4 linked regions of the Saccharomyces cerevisiae S288C genome follow. The protein of the gene in region 1 binds, or shares a complex with, the protein of each later gene. Each region holds a gene or a part of one and is shown in the gene's direction. Other genes may lie near its edges. The genes, in order: RPC37, RET1, RPC17 and RPC53.

Region 1 (3,280 bases):
CATTTGTTGGGATAAAGAACCGTGCAATTTATAAATCACTACATCTGGGTCCCTAGAATCTGAAAAACAAGGAAACATAGTGTTTCCTTTTGTCAATAGTCTTACAGAATCACCCGTTAGATTTTTATGGTGCCCGTCACTTCCTGAAAATGCGTCATAATGAAACTCCACGCTGTCTGAACATGATACGAATACGATTGTACGCAGCGTTTTGGACTGTTGACCGGAAGCGATGAAATCTTTGGTAATGTTGTTCAAAGTAGCAGCTAATGTTACAAGACGCAACTTTGGTGGGACAATAGTAATCCTCTGCAATAGTTGATCGGGCGCAACCGTTACTATATCAGAATCTTTCTTGGTACCGTTGCTAATCAATTTGTAATCTTTCAACGCCACGTTTCTTAACCTATTAACACCATCAGTAAGTGTAGCACTACATAACATGTGCACTAACTTATGCGGTAGCTTGGGAAATTTTTCGGAGTTGATGGGAATATCGTGAACAATTTTAATAATTTCACTGATCGTCTCATCAAAACCCAATTCCATTAACTTATCTCCTTCATCCAATACGATATACCTTAGAGATTGACTCAATTGCTCCTTGATAACTTTTGTATTTTGTAAATGATCCAAAACACGACCTGGTGTACCGATTATGAAATTGCAACCCTTACGCAATCTAGCTTTTTCTGATTTCTTACGTTCTCCACCAATCAATAAACATGGGACCAAGTAGTGACAACATGACACAAGCGTGGAACAAACATGATATATTTGTGATGCTAGTTCTCGTGTAGGAGCAATAACCAATGCAAATGCACCAGAAGTACGATCAACATGAGTATCCATGTTCAAAATAGTAGATATTATAGGTAAAAGATACGATAAAGTCTTACCTGAGCCTGTTTGGGCGTGAATGAAAAAATCGTTCTTCCCCGCGTTACCTATTATTTGAGGTATGGCCTGCTTCTGGATGCTCGTAGGCTTTTTAATACGCATTTTTTGCTCCAGATGAGAAACAAGAAGACTAGAGACACCTAAAGACGCAAACTGATCACCTTTCAAGGGCGCGTTAGACGGATTGATGGCAACGTTTTCATCATGAATATTAGTGTTTACCGCAGTTGTAATCTCTCTGTTAGATGTAAACAGGGATGAAACAAACTGAGAATCGGCTGGTAGAGTTCTCCCTTGAGTGTTATGAGCATTTCTACCCTTATATTTTTCCTGCTCTTCAGAACTATAGGAACTCTCCTTATGCAATTTTTTAATAGAATTCTCGCCTCTACCCGGAATTATCCCTTCGTCCCCTGTAGTGTTCGCCTTTCTTTTCCTCGAGACTGTCTTGCCCTCAAGCTTCATTTTCATTCTTCTTCTATCCTTCCATCTACCGCCTGTCACCTTGGCAGCTTGCTTATAGGAACTTCCTGCAGTGTCCTCATTGGTAGTGAAGTTTAACAGCATAGAATCTTCATCGCTCATCTTGGTGTTAAATTGCTGAATAAGTATGCTTATTTGGAATATGAATAATCCCAAAGGAAAAAGAATATAAACAATCGTACTTTCTTAAATTAGAAATATCACATACAAGTACTCAATCTTTTATTTTCCTAAGCTCATCGCAAATTTTTCAAGTAAAATGGAAACCTAATATGTCAGGGTTTTTAATCCATATTGTTAGGGCAACATTCAATTTTAAACTGAAATTTTATAAAAACTCTGTTCATTTTTCAGGCCTTAGGGTTAGTATTCTGACAAAATTATTCAAGAAAAAAAGAAATGTTACAATGAATGCAAAAGATGGATAAAAGCGAGAGATGAGCTTAAATGATCTGGCTCAAGCAGTGCAAGGTGAAAGTGGAATAGGCTAGTGTTATAGATGAGTATTGACAACAAGTTGTTTGTTACTGAAGAGGATGAGGAAGACAGGACGCAGGACCGTGCTGATGTTGAGGATGAATCTAACGACATTGATATGATAGCGGATGAGAACGGAACAAACAGCGCTATAGCTAATGAGCAAGAGGAAAAATCCGAAGAAGTAAAAGCTGAAGATGATACTGGTGAAGAAGAAGAGGATGACCCAGTGATCGAAGAGTTTCCATTGAAGATCTCCGGAGAAGAGGAGTCACTGCACGTGTTTCAGTATGCTAATAGACCAAGGCTAGTAGGACGCAAACCTGCTGAGCATCCGTTTATCTCTGCAGCAAGATATAAACCCAAGTCGCACCTATGGGAAATAGATATTCCTTTGGATGAGCAGGCCTTCTATAACAAGGATAAGGCTGAGAGCGAATGGAATGGGGTTAATGTCCAAACATTAAAAGGCGTGGGTGTGGAAAACAATGGCCAATATGCAGCATTTGTCAAAGATATGCAGGTTTATTTGGTACCTATTGAGAGGGTAGCACAATTGAAGCCATTTTTCAAATATATCGACGACGCAAATGTAACAAGAAAGCAAGAGGACGCCAGAAGGAACCCTAATCCTTCATCACAACGCGCTCAAGTGGTTACCATGTCTGTAAAGAGCGTCAACGACCCTTCGCAAAACAGACTCACTGGCTCCCTGCTGGCACATAAAGTCGCCGATGAAGAGGCTAATATTGAATTGACCTGGGCAGAAGGCACGTTTGAACAGTTCAAAGATACTATCGTGAAAGAAGCTGAAGATAAAACTTTAGTAGCCTTAGAGAAACAAGAAGACTATATAGATAATCTAGTTTGAAGTACATAATGCATCATGAAGAAAGAACAGCATCAGACATCAGTTTCACATAAAGGATGCTCTTGCGCTTTTTCTCCTTTTCTATTAAGTCATTGCGTGCATATATTATGTGATTTTTTTTAATCATACCACATCTTGATTAACTCTTCTGAAACGGCACTTGGAGTGAGGACCCCTAAATCTGTAATCAATGCAGTAATGTATTCTTGGGCGGTATAGTCGATCGTGGGCCCACGCAATGCATCTTCTAGATCGTCCGTACGACGTGTGAAATCCAAAGGAGGGCCGGCCATAGGTAGATCATCTGAAGACAATGGAAACATACGAACAAATTTGTGACTTTCAGTGACCACATAGAATGGTTTTCTTGCATTATGTGCTAAAACACCCACTGAATAGGTACCCACGAGATTTATAATACCACCTGATTCAGCAACACCCTCAGCACCAACGAACACTTTGTCAACCTTATCGATTACCGCTCCAACCGCGCTATCGACAATAAGAGTCACGGGTATGCCCTTTTGTTCAAGTAAAGTATATAGCTGG
Region 2 (5,663 bases), on another chromosome or scaffold:
GAATTCCTTCAGTAAGTTCGTAATCATTTATTGGTGACATTATAGTATCATCGGAAGATAATGGTGATGGCGAAGAAGATGTGTTGTTTTTTGGTATAATTAATTTTAGCTTTTGATTTTTCTGTATGTTGCTTTTCAAAGAACTTTTATACTGTCGTTGCAAACTAGTTAAAGAATATAATTTTGAATCATCCGTGGATTGCGGACCCCTCTGCTTTTGTGATAGCTGCTTTTGATGTAAAGGCTTTTTCTTGAATTTCAGGCATTTCTCTAATCTTTGCATTTCAAAATTTTCTAAAGTTTCAAAATTGTTAAAGAGTTTCTTTAATATTACCTTTTCATTTTCTTTTACGGAGCAGAATTTTAGCCAATTCGGTAAAATCGTGTCGTTAGGTGCTAAGTCAGCAGGCATATTGAATTGGAAAAACTTTTGCAAAGAATTAGGAGAATAATGAATTAGATCCTTTTTCAGAGACTGTAAAAATATTTTATTTGAATCATTGGGTGGAGGTATGTTTATTCTTAAATTTAAAGTTGACCTTGAAGTTAAGTTTACATTCAAGTTCAAATCCAATTTGGGCAAGATGCAATTTTTCTTATTTTTTCCTAATGAGGGGGCCTTGCTATCATTCAGAGAGCCTTCGAGAAGAAAGAATTTCAAATAAGGAGATGGAAAAAAATGGCAGATGAACTTTTTAAACTTCTCAATGAGGCAAAAAGTTGTCTTTAAACAACTCGAAATTCTGCTAAACGAATCACTGAAAATGAAAATATCATAATCTTTGATGATCTTTGTGAACTCAATATACTTTTCATCAGATCCAAGGTAATTCTTTAGTAAGTTCTCGAACGGGTAGTTCGACCTTTTCACCAAAGTGCTGGGTAGCGGCAACGATAAAACTGTGATATCCTTAGCATTGGTATTGCCTAAAAATGAGTTGGTATTGGGGCCAGCGCACAGATCTAGTAAAAGTATTTTAGAATGCCTATTAGAGTTGTTCCGCCGTATGTTAACGTCGTCCAAATCTTTGCACGGTTTAATTTGATTTTGGGGAAGGTTAGACAGATTTATAGTTTCACCTCTATAGACGGGCATTTGACCAGGTGTTCTAGTTTGATTGACTTGTATGTGGCCCTTTTCCGATATAGCGGAAGAAGCCATTCTATTGCCGTTATTGTCTCTTTTGCCATTACGATATTGCTGTGCTATGCGATCCATCAATAGCAACGTCGATCCTATTTTATTGTAAACTATTAATAGCACTGGGGATCGGACCTAGGCTTCCAAACTAAGCGAAAAGGGCTGTGCAAAGCGGAAGAGGGGAACCAGGGGAATCGGGTCTGTCAGGTTGAGTGATCTCGTCTTTCTTGTCAAAGGTCGCAGCGCGGTGTTCAAAGAAAGATGATGATTCAAAGTTGGCACTTCCCAAAGGTTTTAATAGGTGCATTATTTTTATATATTCCTTATTGTTAGGTGTACTACACATAAAGATATAAATAGTTCCATAAAGCAGGCGCGTATTTTCCAGATCACGTCGGACGAAATTGTAATTGTGAGATGAGCTGAAAATTTTTCGATCTATGCTTAAGTGATGATATATGGACAAGTTAGGAAAGAATTAAAGGGAGTTTAAAGTGTTGATAATTGAGCGTTTTAATCGCTAGGGACTTAGTGCTTGTTGAAAAATGGTTGCTGCGACAAAAAGACGGAAAACTCATATACATAAGCATGTGAAAGACGAGGCTTTTGATGATTTATTGAAACCAGTATATAAAGGTAAGAAACTAACTGATGAAATCAATACTGCTCAGGATAAGTGGCACCTTTTACCAGCATTCTTGAAGGTTAAAGGTTTGGTGAAGCAACATCTTGACTCATTTAACTACTTCGTTGATACAGATTTAAAAAAAATTATAAAGGCAAATCAATTAATTTTGAGTGATGTTGATCCAGAATTCTACCTGAAGTACGTCGATATTAGAGTGGGTAAGAAGTCCTCTTCTTCGACAAAAGATTATTTGACTCCGCCTCATGAGTGTAGGCTTAGAGATATGACATACTCTGCACCAATCTACGTGGATATAGAATACACTAGAGGTAGAAACATTATTATGCATAAAGACGTGGAAATTGGTAGGATGCCGATCATGCTGAGATCTAATAAATGTATCCTATATGATGCTGATGAATCGAAAATGGCTAAATTAAACGAGTGTCCGTTGGATCCTGGTGGTTACTTTATTGTTAACGGTACCGAAAAAGTAATTCTTGTTCAAGAACAATTATCCAAGAATCGTATTATTGTGGAGGCAGATGAGAAGAAAGGCATTGTTCAGGCCTCCGTTACTTCATCTACCCATGAAAGAAAATCTAAGACTTATGTCATTACCAAAAATGGCAAGATCTATTTGAAGCACAATTCCATCGCTGAAGAAATTCCTATTGCTATTGTTCTCAAAGCCTGTGGTATTTTATCAGATTTAGAAATTATGCAATTGGTTTGCGGTAATGATAGTAGCTACCAAGATATTTTTGCAGTCAATTTGGAAGAATCTTCGAAATTAGATATTTACACACAACAGCAAGCTTTAGAGTATATTGGTGCAAAAGTAAAGACAATGAGAAGGCAAAAACTGACTATCCTGCAAGAGGGTATAGAGGCCATTGCTACCACGGTTATTGCACATTTGACTGTGGAAGCCCTTGACTTTAGAGAAAAGGCTTTATATATTGCCATGATGACGCGCAGGGTGGTGATGGCAATGTATAACCCTAAGATGATTGATGATAGAGATTATGTTGGTAATAAACGTCTTGAATTAGCAGGCCAATTGATTTCTTTATTGTTCGAAGATTTGTTCAAAAAGTTTAATAATGATTTTAAACTAAGCATTGATAAGGTCTTGAAAAAACCAAATAGGGCTATGGAATACGATGCATTATTGTCAATTAACGTCCATTCAAATAACATCACCAGCGGACTGAACAGAGCTATCTCAACCGGTAATTGGTCTCTTAAAAGATTTAAGATGGAAAGAGCGGGTGTTACACATGTTCTTTCCAGACTATCTTATATTTCCGCATTGGGTATGATGACAAGAATTTCTTCTCAGTTTGAAAAATCAAGAAAAGTTTCCGGTCCAAGAGCATTACAACCTTCTCAATTTGGTATGCTTTGTACTGCAGATACTCCAGAAGGTGAGGCGTGTGGTCTAGTGAAAAATTTAGCATTAATGACTCATATTACTACAGATGACGAAGAGGAACCTATAAAGAAATTATGTTATGTTCTTGGTGTAGAAGACATAACATTGATTGACAGTGCATCCTTGCATTTAAACTATGGTGTTTATTTGAATGGTACTTTAATTGGTTCAATCAGATTCCCAACAAAATTCGTTACTCAGTTCAGACATCTGAGAAGAACAGGTAAAGTGTCGGAGTTTATCTCAATTTATTCAAATTCTCACCAAATGGCAGTTCATATTGCAACAGATGGTGGTAGAATTTGTAGGCCATTAATCATTGTTTCTGATGGTCAATCTCGCGTGAAAGATATTCATTTACGCAAATTATTAGATGGTGAGTTAGATTTCGATGATTTTTTGAAACTCGGATTGGTGGAATATTTAGATGTCAATGAAGAAAACGATTCTTACATTGCATTGTATGAAAAAGATATAGTTCCCTCGATGACACATTTAGAAATCGAGCCATTCACAATTTTAGGTGCTGTTGCTGGTTTAATTCCATATCCACATCATAACCAATCCCCTCGTAACACATATCAATGTGCGATGGGTAAGCAAGCGATTGGTGCAATCGCCTACAATCAATTCAAGAGAATAGATACATTATTATACTTGATGACTTATCCACAACAGCCAATGGTGAAAACCAAAACAATTGAATTGATCGATTATGATAAATTACCTGCTGGTCAAAATGCTACGGTTGCTGTCATGTCCTATTCTGGTTATGATATTGAAGATGCTTTGGTTTTGAATAAGTCATCCATCGATAGAGGTTTCGGCCGTTGCGAAACACGTAGAAAGACAACCACTGTTTTGAAAAGATATGCGAACCATACCCAAGATATCATCGGTGGTATGAGAGTTGATGAAAATGGAGATCCTATCTGGCAACATCAATCTCTTGGTCCTGATGGTCTAGGTGAGGTGGGTATGAAGGTCCAAAGTGGACAAATTTATATAAATAAGTCAGTTCCAACTAACTCAGCAGACGCCCCAAACCCAAACAACGTAAACGTCCAAACTCAATATAGGGAAGCTCCGGTAATATATAGAGGTCCAGAACCTTCTCACATTGACCAAGTTATGATGTCTGTTTCGGATAACGATCAAGCTTTAATCAAAGTTTTGCTAAGACAAAACAGAAGGCCAGAATTAGGTGACAAATTTTCTTCTAGACATGGTCAAAAAGGTGTTTGTGGTATTATTGTAAAGCAAGAAGACATGCCCTTCAACGATCAAGGTATAGTTCCAGACATTATCATGAACCCTCACGGTTTTCCATCTCGTATGACTGTGGGTAAAATGATCGAACTGATATCGGGTAAAGCTGGTGTATTGAATGGTACATTGGAATATGGTACTTGTTTTGGTGGTTCTAAACTTGAAGATATGTCTAAGATTTTGGTAGACCAAGGTTTCAACTATTCCGGTAAGGATATGTTATATTCAGGTATAACAGGTGAGTGTTTACAGGCTTACATCTTTTTTGGCCCCATTTACTATCAAAAGTTAAAGCATATGGTCTTAGATAAGATGCATGCAAGAGCTCGTGGTCCAAGGGCTGTTTTGACACGTCAACCAACTGAGGGTAGATCTAGAGATGGTGGTCTGAGGTTGGGTGAGATGGAGAGGGATTGTGTAATCGCGTATGGTGCTTCACAATTGCTGTTAGAAAGGTTGATGATTAGTTCAGATGCTTTTGAAGTTGATGTCTGCGATAAATGTGGATTAATGGGCTATAGTGGTTGGTGTACTACCTGCAAAAGTGCTGAGAATATTATTAAGATGACTATTCCATATGCAGCAAAACTGTTATTCCAGGAATTATTATCCATGAACATAGCCCCAAGATTAAGATTGGAAGATATCTTCCAGCAGTAAGAAATCATATATCTTGTACTAAATTTTGCGTTATGTTAGCAATCATATCTATTTCGTGAGGAACTTTAAGAGAGTTGAACGATTTCGAAAATTATATAACAGTAAACCGTACTTCTTTCATTTTTGTACCTTGCTTTACATCATTACTTTTTATAAGATCCATCGAACGTTTGACGTGTTTTCTATCCATAAACCGGCCAAAATATAAAAATATCCAGCTGACAAGAGAAAGCTTGGAGTGCTCACATGTTAGCACATGTGAGCACAATGATATATACGCTTTAAAAAAGACTTTTCTTTATTTTACACATTTATAGACTTAACTATTGAATTCAAGACAAAAAATCAAATCTTGCTGAGTTGTTAAGCGTCTGACATTTCAACATCTTCGTTGTCATCATCACTTTCCAGACTGTTTAATAATTTTGCTTCTTCTGTTTCTCTTTCTTTGTCTTGTTCTTCCATACTTTCTCTCATTAATCTGGCCTTTTCTTCCTTAACTTCACGTTGTACTGCAACATAAGAAC
Region 3 (2,636 bases), on another chromosome or scaffold:
TGAGACTATTTACTATAGTTTCTATGTAATGACCCATATCCTTACATATACAAACGTCAAGTTAATTGTTCAAGTAACAGATATTTAACTTTACATTATCACATAGTCTATATCGTTCTCCATCCTGACACATCAATGACGTTTGCGTCTAATTGCTTCACAATTACAAATTCATCAGTAATAAAGAATAGTATGTCACTATTCTAACAGATAATATGCCAGTAATATGACTACTGGTCAATATTAAGCATAACTGTAAGACTGGATTTTGTAATGTCACCTATTAGAAAATGTTAGCCTAAATTTTCAACAAAAGTTGAAGCGGTGGCTCAATGGTAGAGCTTTCGACTCCAATTAAATCTTGGAAATTCCACGGAATAAGATTGCAATCGAAGGGTTGCAGGTTCAATTCCTGTCCGTTTCAATTTATTTTTTTATTTTTTTTGCACCATATCGTTCATGGTGATTCTCTCTTTCCTAGCCGCCAATAACGTCGTAACAATACCGTCCTCTTCCCTTTCTCTTGTTGCAGATTAGGTCTGAAACGAGATAAAAGTCTTACAGAGAAGTCGGCAATGCATACTTACTAAGAGCATGCATTCTAAAGTATGCTTCGTGCGTTTTAGGATAGATAAAGTATCATTTAATTCCGCTATTTGTGAATCGTTAAATGTCACAGGCAAATCGACATGTTAATGATCTTACGACAGAGTAGTTTATGCCGAGGGTTACTTATATTTCAACTTGTACATCTCTTAGTCTTGAATATCCGGCACAATTTTCATTATTTTGCTAGTGCGTGGATCCTTTGGCGCTGACACTAACCGGTAAATTGTACTTTCGTTCATCTTTCCTTGTCATAAACTCTTCGTCAGTAATTTCTTTAGCAATAGAAGCTAAAACAAGCTTATTAGCAAACAGTTCGTGTACACAACTATGAGCAATCCATTACATTAAAAGGGTTTACTGTATAATGTTATATATGTAGCATGAATTATAAAATGGTCCTCCCAATCATTTTGATAGGTTATTCTGCGGAATGATCAAGCTTTTCTAGATTCCTTCAGATAATATCATATGTTAAGGAGAAGAACAATTTTGCTTAATCAAACTTCTGGTCACATGAGTTGAACAGAATGTAACCTTTTATTGATAGTCTGCAGTCTGGTTCTCCACGAACTACATATACTATTTCTATTTACAAAATAGTGTGATATTTCACCTTCTATGAGATGAAATACAAAAGAAAGCTTCGCTGCAAGGTTGAAAGATAATTAGCACTTATTCCTTGAATAAGTGGGCAAGAAAAAAATATTAGCCCTGTAGGGGGCTCGAACCCCTAACCTTATGATTAAGAGTCATACGCGCTACCGATTGCGCCAACAAGGCTAATTCGTTGAAAAATCCTTCAATTCCTGAAAATTATACCAAGTAAAAAAAGGAAAATTGCCTGAAAAATTATTTTTTTCAATGCCATCGATCTATGAAAGTTAAGCAAATAACAGCCACAGTAGAAGAGAAGTTGAGTGAATCCAACACCCACCACTGAAAAAATCGACACTTAAACAAAAAACTTTAAACGTTATGAAAGTTCTTGAGGAAAGGAATGCATTTTTAAGTGACTATGAAGTCTTGAAGTTCCTAACAGATCTAGAAAAAAAACATCTTTGGGACCAAAAAAGTTTGGCTGCGCTGAAGAAAAGTCGCTCGAAAGGTAAGCAGAATAGGCCCTACAATCATCCTGAATTGCAAGGTATTACTCGCAATGTGGTTAACTATCTCAGTATAAACAAAAACTTTATCAACCAGGAAGATGAAGGCGAGGAACGAGAAAGCAGTGGTGCAAAAGATGCTGAAAAATCGGGTATAAGCAAAATGAGCGATGAAAGCTTTGCTGAGTTGATGACTAAACTGAATTCTTTTAAATTATTCAAGGCTGAAAAACTGCAGATTGTCAATCAACTTCCTGCCAATATGGTCCACCTTTACTCCATAGTGGAGGAGTGTGATGCAAGATTTGACGAAAAAACAATTGAGGAAATGCTAGAGATCATCTCTGGCTACGCATGAGTGTACAGTGCTTTGAATTGATTTGGACTGGCACTTCCGAAAAACAGAAATTACTTTGTTGTGTAACAATATAACATGTTCAATGAGTATGCATGTATTATTGAACTTAAGCATATAGAAATATTTACAAGAATATACTTTATTTTTTAGAGTTTATTGCGCACACTTTGGGTTAGTCTCGATTTTTTTTATTTCCATTGGAGGAAGGTTATTATTTGGAAATTTAGTGCTGCGTTATAAACGTCTGTAAAGCCAGTACCACAAGCAACTTCGGTGAGATTTAACTTTTGTTTATTCTGTATTTTTGTCGAGGCTTAAAAGGGTATACTAGTTGAGGGCGTTACAGTAATCCCTTCATGGCAAGAATAAAGTAATAGTTATATAATAATTGTCATACGCATTGTTATACCAGTTGACGAGTAAAAAAAGACGCACCGTGACTTCAAGAGCTGTCGCAAACAAGTTCGACAATATTTAACTTATAAACATATTAAAGCTTTCAAAAATATAGTCTTTCGAAGAGCTTTTTCATACTAAGAGAAGCGTTGCTAATATTCCGAATTAAT
Region 4 (3,389 bases), on another chromosome or scaffold:
CAGATTCAATGAAATCATCAGCTTCAGGCATTGATGATGTTTTCGGTTTAGAATGCAGACGTGATTGTGCTACGTACTCTTCAAAATCGTCAATATCAACATCTTCTTCTTCTTCTTCTTCATCGCTTTCTCTTTCTTCTTCATCAATTTCTTGCTTTTGTTTTCCTCCATCCTCTGCATCAGAATCTTCACTGTTTTGCAACTCATTCAGCTTCTTTTCGTTAAAGGCCTCAATGTTTGCGGTTTCTTCACTTTCAGAACCATCTCCTTCATTCACATCAAAACTAGATGGCAATTCGCTGGCTTGCCTCCAAATCTCTTTTGTCGTTAAAATCTTTTCCATGACCGGATGTCCCTTCATAGATGTGAAATCTTCATTATTATGGAGTTCGTGCAACAAGATACTATAGTAACATGATATTGTGCCTAGGTAACTTCCAAGTGCAATTAGCTTTAATTTATTGAACTCATTTTCCTCAGATTTCTTTAATTCGTCAAACTTTGGAGCTAATTCTGTGAATTCTTTTGAAAGTGGAGCAAATTCAGGAAACATTGTCCTTAAATAGTTATCCCTTGCTTCGTCATCCATATTTAGAATATCCGTTATGGAAGTTTTAGTATCAGCCTGCTTGGTCGAGTTCTTAAATTCACCCATGTCAAATTCTTTGGCACTTTTGACCCACTCTTCTTCTTCTTCTTCATCTAAGTAATCGTTCATATTAAGTTCTTCCAGATGCTTCTTTTGTTGTCGTAAAGCTTCCTTTTCTATTTCCTTAGCAGCTTCGTCATCATCTAAATCATCAGCCCCATAATATTCTCCTTTTGTGGACCCCCAGGCATTCTCGTTGTCTAACATACCATTCTCTTCATCTTCCTCAGGAAGCTGGTCAGTTTCTAAGTTTCTACCAAATATTTTCTTATAGGCTGCAGCACCATCTAGTTCCTCTTCCTCTTCTTCTTCCTCATCTTCTCTTTCATCTATTGACTCATCATCTTCATCCATGGCTAAGACTTCTTCCTCATCTTCGTCTTCTAACAGAGAATGGTCATCATCTTTATTACTGTCGCCAAAGGTGGATTGTCCAAGTAAAACCTTTTCCCTTTTAGAAGCAAAATCATCAACTTCGTTTAAACCATACGGATTAATCTCATCCCCAACTTCAGAGGTCTTAGTTCTGTTTGAGCCTTTGCGTACCATATTATTCTATACACCCACTCTAATATGTTTTCTCTTCCTCCAAAACTTTTTGTATAAAAGCATCAGTGAGATGAGCTATGATGAGATGAGCTTCATTATTGAATTTTTTTTCATTGCAGAAGCGCAGTTTGAAAATTTTTCATCCGCCCTGCAAAGTCCAATTTTTTGATCAGCAGAAGATAATGACCAGAGAATTATGGTATTCAAGAGAACAATTCAAAAGAGGACAGCTAGAAAGATATTGAGGTATTTATAATTTGCTAGACTAACCGAAAGTCGAAGCGTAATCTTGTTTTTTATTAAGCGGGATAGCATTCATTAAGTATGAGCAGTAATAAAGGAAATGGGCGCTTGCCATCATTAAAAGATTCCTCCTCCAATGGAGGAGGATCTGCCAAGCCCTCATTAAAGTTTAAACCAAAAGCAGTTGCAAGAAAGTCCAAGGAAGAAAGAGAAGCAGCTGCGTCCAAAGTAAAGCTAGAGGAGGAATCTAAGAGAGGTAATGACAAGAAACATTTCAATAACAAGAATAAAAGAGTAACCGGCGCTGGCGGCCAGCAAAGGCGAATGGCCAAATACTTAAATAACACACACGTTATCTCTAGCGGTCCATTGGCGGCTGGGAACTTTGTAAGTGAGAAGGGTGATTTGAGAAGAGGATTCATCAAATCAGAAGGAAGCGGGTCATCTCTTGTGCAAAAGGGCCTGGAAACTATTGACAATGGTGCTGAGAGCTCTGAGAATGAGGCAGAAGACGATGATAATGAAGGTGTAGCGTCCAAATCTAAGAAGAAGTTCAATATGGGAAAAGAATTCGAGGCACGCAATCTCATAGAGGACGAAGATGACGGCGAAAGTGAAAAGAGCAGTGACGTCGACATGGATGACGAAGAATGGAGATCTAAACGGATTGAACAGTTATTCCCTGTGAGACCTGTCCGCGTAAGACACGAAGACGTTGAAACTGTCAAAAGAGAAATACAAGAAGCTCTTTCAGAAAAGCCAACTCGTGAACCAACCCCCAGTGTGAAGACAGAGCCTGTCGGAACCGGATTACAATCTTATTTGGAAGAAAGAGAAAGGCAAGTCAATGAGAAACTGGCAGATCTTGGACTTGAAAAGGAGTTTCAATCGGTTGATGGGAAAGAAGCGGCCGCTGAGTTGGAATTATTAAATGCAGATCATCAGCATATATTACGAAAACTAAAGAAAATGAATAATAAACCAGAAAGATTCATGGTATTCCAGTTACCTACTAGGTTACCAGCTTTTGAAAGACCCGCTGTGAAAGAAGAAAAAGAAGACATGGAAACCCAGGCTAGCGACCCTTCAAAGAAGAAGAAGAATATTAAAAAGAAGGACACGAAGGATGCTTTGTCTACTAGAGAACTTGCCGGCAAGGTTGGGTCTATACGGGTTCACAAATCTGGAAAACTTTCCGTGAAAATTGGAAATGTGGTGATGGATATTGGCAAAGGTGCCGAAACCACATTTTTACAAGATGTTATAGCATTAAGTATCGCTGATGATGCATCCTCAGCGGAACTTCTAGGCCGTGTGGACGGTAAAATAGTAGTCACACCTCAAATCTAATCGCACTCGCATCTGTCGAGTATATAAATGAATATACACAGTCATAAATACTTCTAGAACAAATTACACTAATTAAGATGCTTAGATTCCCATTCAAAAGGTACTATTGACGTCTTGTCTTCTACAATTTCTCATCCTCTTTGAACATTGGTAATGTTATTCTAGTTATTGTTACCCAGTTTCGGAACTTTAGGGGAGCCACACTTTAAACAAAAAGAAGCGCCATAACCACCGTGAAGTAATGAGTATCTCACTTTGATAAGAAGACATTTAAGAACAGCCTGAAATATCAAAATCACGGAATTATTAGGTTATGGAGAGAGATGAATACCAGTTACCCAACTCTCATGGGAAGAATACTTTCTTATCGCGAATATTTGGTTTACAATCGGATGAAGTTAATCCTTCTCTTAATAGCCAGGAGATGAGCAACTTCCCTTTACCAGACATAGAGAGAGGCTCATCTTTATTGCATTCTACTAACGACAGCCGCGAAGATGTAGATGAGAATGACTTACGTGTTCCTGAGTCTGACCAAGGCACTAGTACAGAAGAAGAGGATGAAGTAGATGAAGAGCAAGTCCAGGCGTATGCTCCA

The links.
Region 2: RPC37 (region 1) and RET1 share a complex: the UniProt entries of both Saccharomyces cerevisiae proteins name them as parts of the RNA polymerase III (Pol III) complex.
Region 3: RPC37 (region 1) and RPC17 share a complex: the UniProt entries of both Saccharomyces cerevisiae proteins name them as parts of the RNA polymerase III (Pol III) complex.
Region 4: the proteins of RPC37 (region 1) and RPC53 are in contact, whole or in part, in a cryo-EM structure (PDB 7Z0H), measured with the Saccharomyces cerevisiae proteins. Residues at the interface, in NP_012950.3 of Saccharomyces cerevisiae: Ile71 (codon at 2,093), Glu72 (codon at 2,096), Glu73 (codon at 2,099), Phe74 (codon at 2,102), Pro75 (codon at 2,105), Leu76 (codon at 2,108), Lys77 (codon at 2,111), Ile78 (codon at 2,114), Glu81 (codon at 2,123), Glu83 (codon at 2,129), Ser84 (codon at 2,132), Leu85 (codon at 2,135), His86 (codon at 2,138), Val87 (codon at 2,141), Phe88 (codon at 2,144), Gln89 (codon at 2,147), Tyr90 (codon at 2,150), Ala91 (codon at 2,153), Arg93 (codon at 2,159), Pro94 (codon at 2,162), Arg95 (codon at 2,165), Leu96 (codon at 2,168), Val97 (codon at 2,171), Arg99 (codon at 2,177), Ala102 (codon at 2,186), His104 (codon at 2,192), Tyr112 (codon at 2,216), Trp119 (codon at 2,237), Asp126 (codon at 2,258), Gln128 (codon at 2,264); in NP_010131.1 of Saccharomyces cerevisiae: Arg195 (codon at 2,105), Ile196 (codon at 2,108), Gln198 (codon at 2,114), Leu199 (codon at 2,117), Phe200 (codon at 2,120), Leu223 (codon at 2,189), Ser224 (codon at 2,192), Glu225 (codon at 2,195), Lys226 (codon at 2,198), Leu294 (codon at 2,402), Lys295 (codon at 2,405), Met297 (codon at 2,411), Asn298 (codon at 2,414), Asn299 (codon at 2,417), Lys300 (codon at 2,420), Pro301 (codon at 2,423), Glu302 (codon at 2,426), Arg303 (codon at 2,429), Phe304 (codon at 2,432), Met305 (codon at 2,435), Val306 (codon at 2,438), Phe307 (codon at 2,441), Gln308 (codon at 2,444), Leu309 (codon at 2,447), Pro310 (codon at 2,450), Thr311 (codon at 2,453), Arg312 (codon at 2,456), Leu313 (codon at 2,459), Pro314 (codon at 2,462), Ala315 (codon at 2,465).

What each region holds. Positions count from the first base shown.
Region 1 is NC_001143.9:485,888-489,167, forward strand, and holds RPC37 (DNA-directed RNA polymerase III subunit C37), read left to right. Parts: upstream 1-1,882; coding exon 1,883-2,731; downstream 2,732-3,280. Other genes in the region: DBP7 (putative ATP-dependent RNA helicase), read right to left, coding at 1-1,485; GCN3 (translation initiation factor eIF2B subunit alpha), read right to left, coding at 2,851-3,280. UniProt on the Saccharomyces cerevisiae protein: DNA-dependent RNA polymerase catalyzes the transcription of DNA into RNA using the four ribonucleoside triphosphates as substrates. Specific peripheric component of RNA polymerase III which synthesizes small RNAs, such as 5S rRNA and tRNAs.
Region 2 is NC_001147.6:729,481-735,143, reverse strand, and holds RET1 (DNA-directed RNA polymerase III core subunit RET1), read left to right. Parts: upstream 1-1,686; coding exon 1,687-5,136; downstream 5,137-5,663. Other genes in the region: tyrosine protein phosphatase PTP2, read right to left, coding at 1-1,219; mRNA-binding ribosome synthesis protein NOC2, read right to left, coding at 5,500-5,663. UniProt on the Saccharomyces cerevisiae protein: DNA-dependent RNA polymerase catalyzes the transcription of DNA into RNA using the four ribonucleoside triphosphates as substrates. Second largest core component of RNA polymerase III which synthesizes small RNAs, such as 5S rRNA and tRNAs.
Region 3 is NC_001142.9:413,719-416,354, reverse strand, and holds RPC17 (DNA-directed RNA polymerase III subunit RPC17), read left to right. Parts: upstream 1-1,584; coding exon 1,585-2,070; downstream 2,071-2,636. UniProt on the Saccharomyces cerevisiae protein: DNA-dependent RNA polymerase catalyzes the transcription of DNA into RNA using the four ribonucleoside triphosphates as substrates. Specific peripheric component of RNA polymerase III which synthesizes small RNAs, such as 5S rRNA and tRNAs.
Region 4 is NC_001136.10:181,821-185,209, forward strand, and holds RPC53 (DNA-directed RNA polymerase III subunit C53), read left to right. Parts: upstream 1-1,522; coding exon 1,523-2,791; downstream 2,792-3,389. Other genes in the region: rRNA-processing protein SAS10, read right to left, coding at 1-1,198; autophagy protein ATG9, read left to right, coding at 3,105-3,389. UniProt on the Saccharomyces cerevisiae protein: DNA-dependent RNA polymerase catalyzes the transcription of DNA into RNA using the four ribonucleoside triphosphates as substrates. Specific peripheric component of RNA polymerase III which synthesizes small RNAs, such as 5S rRNA and tRNAs.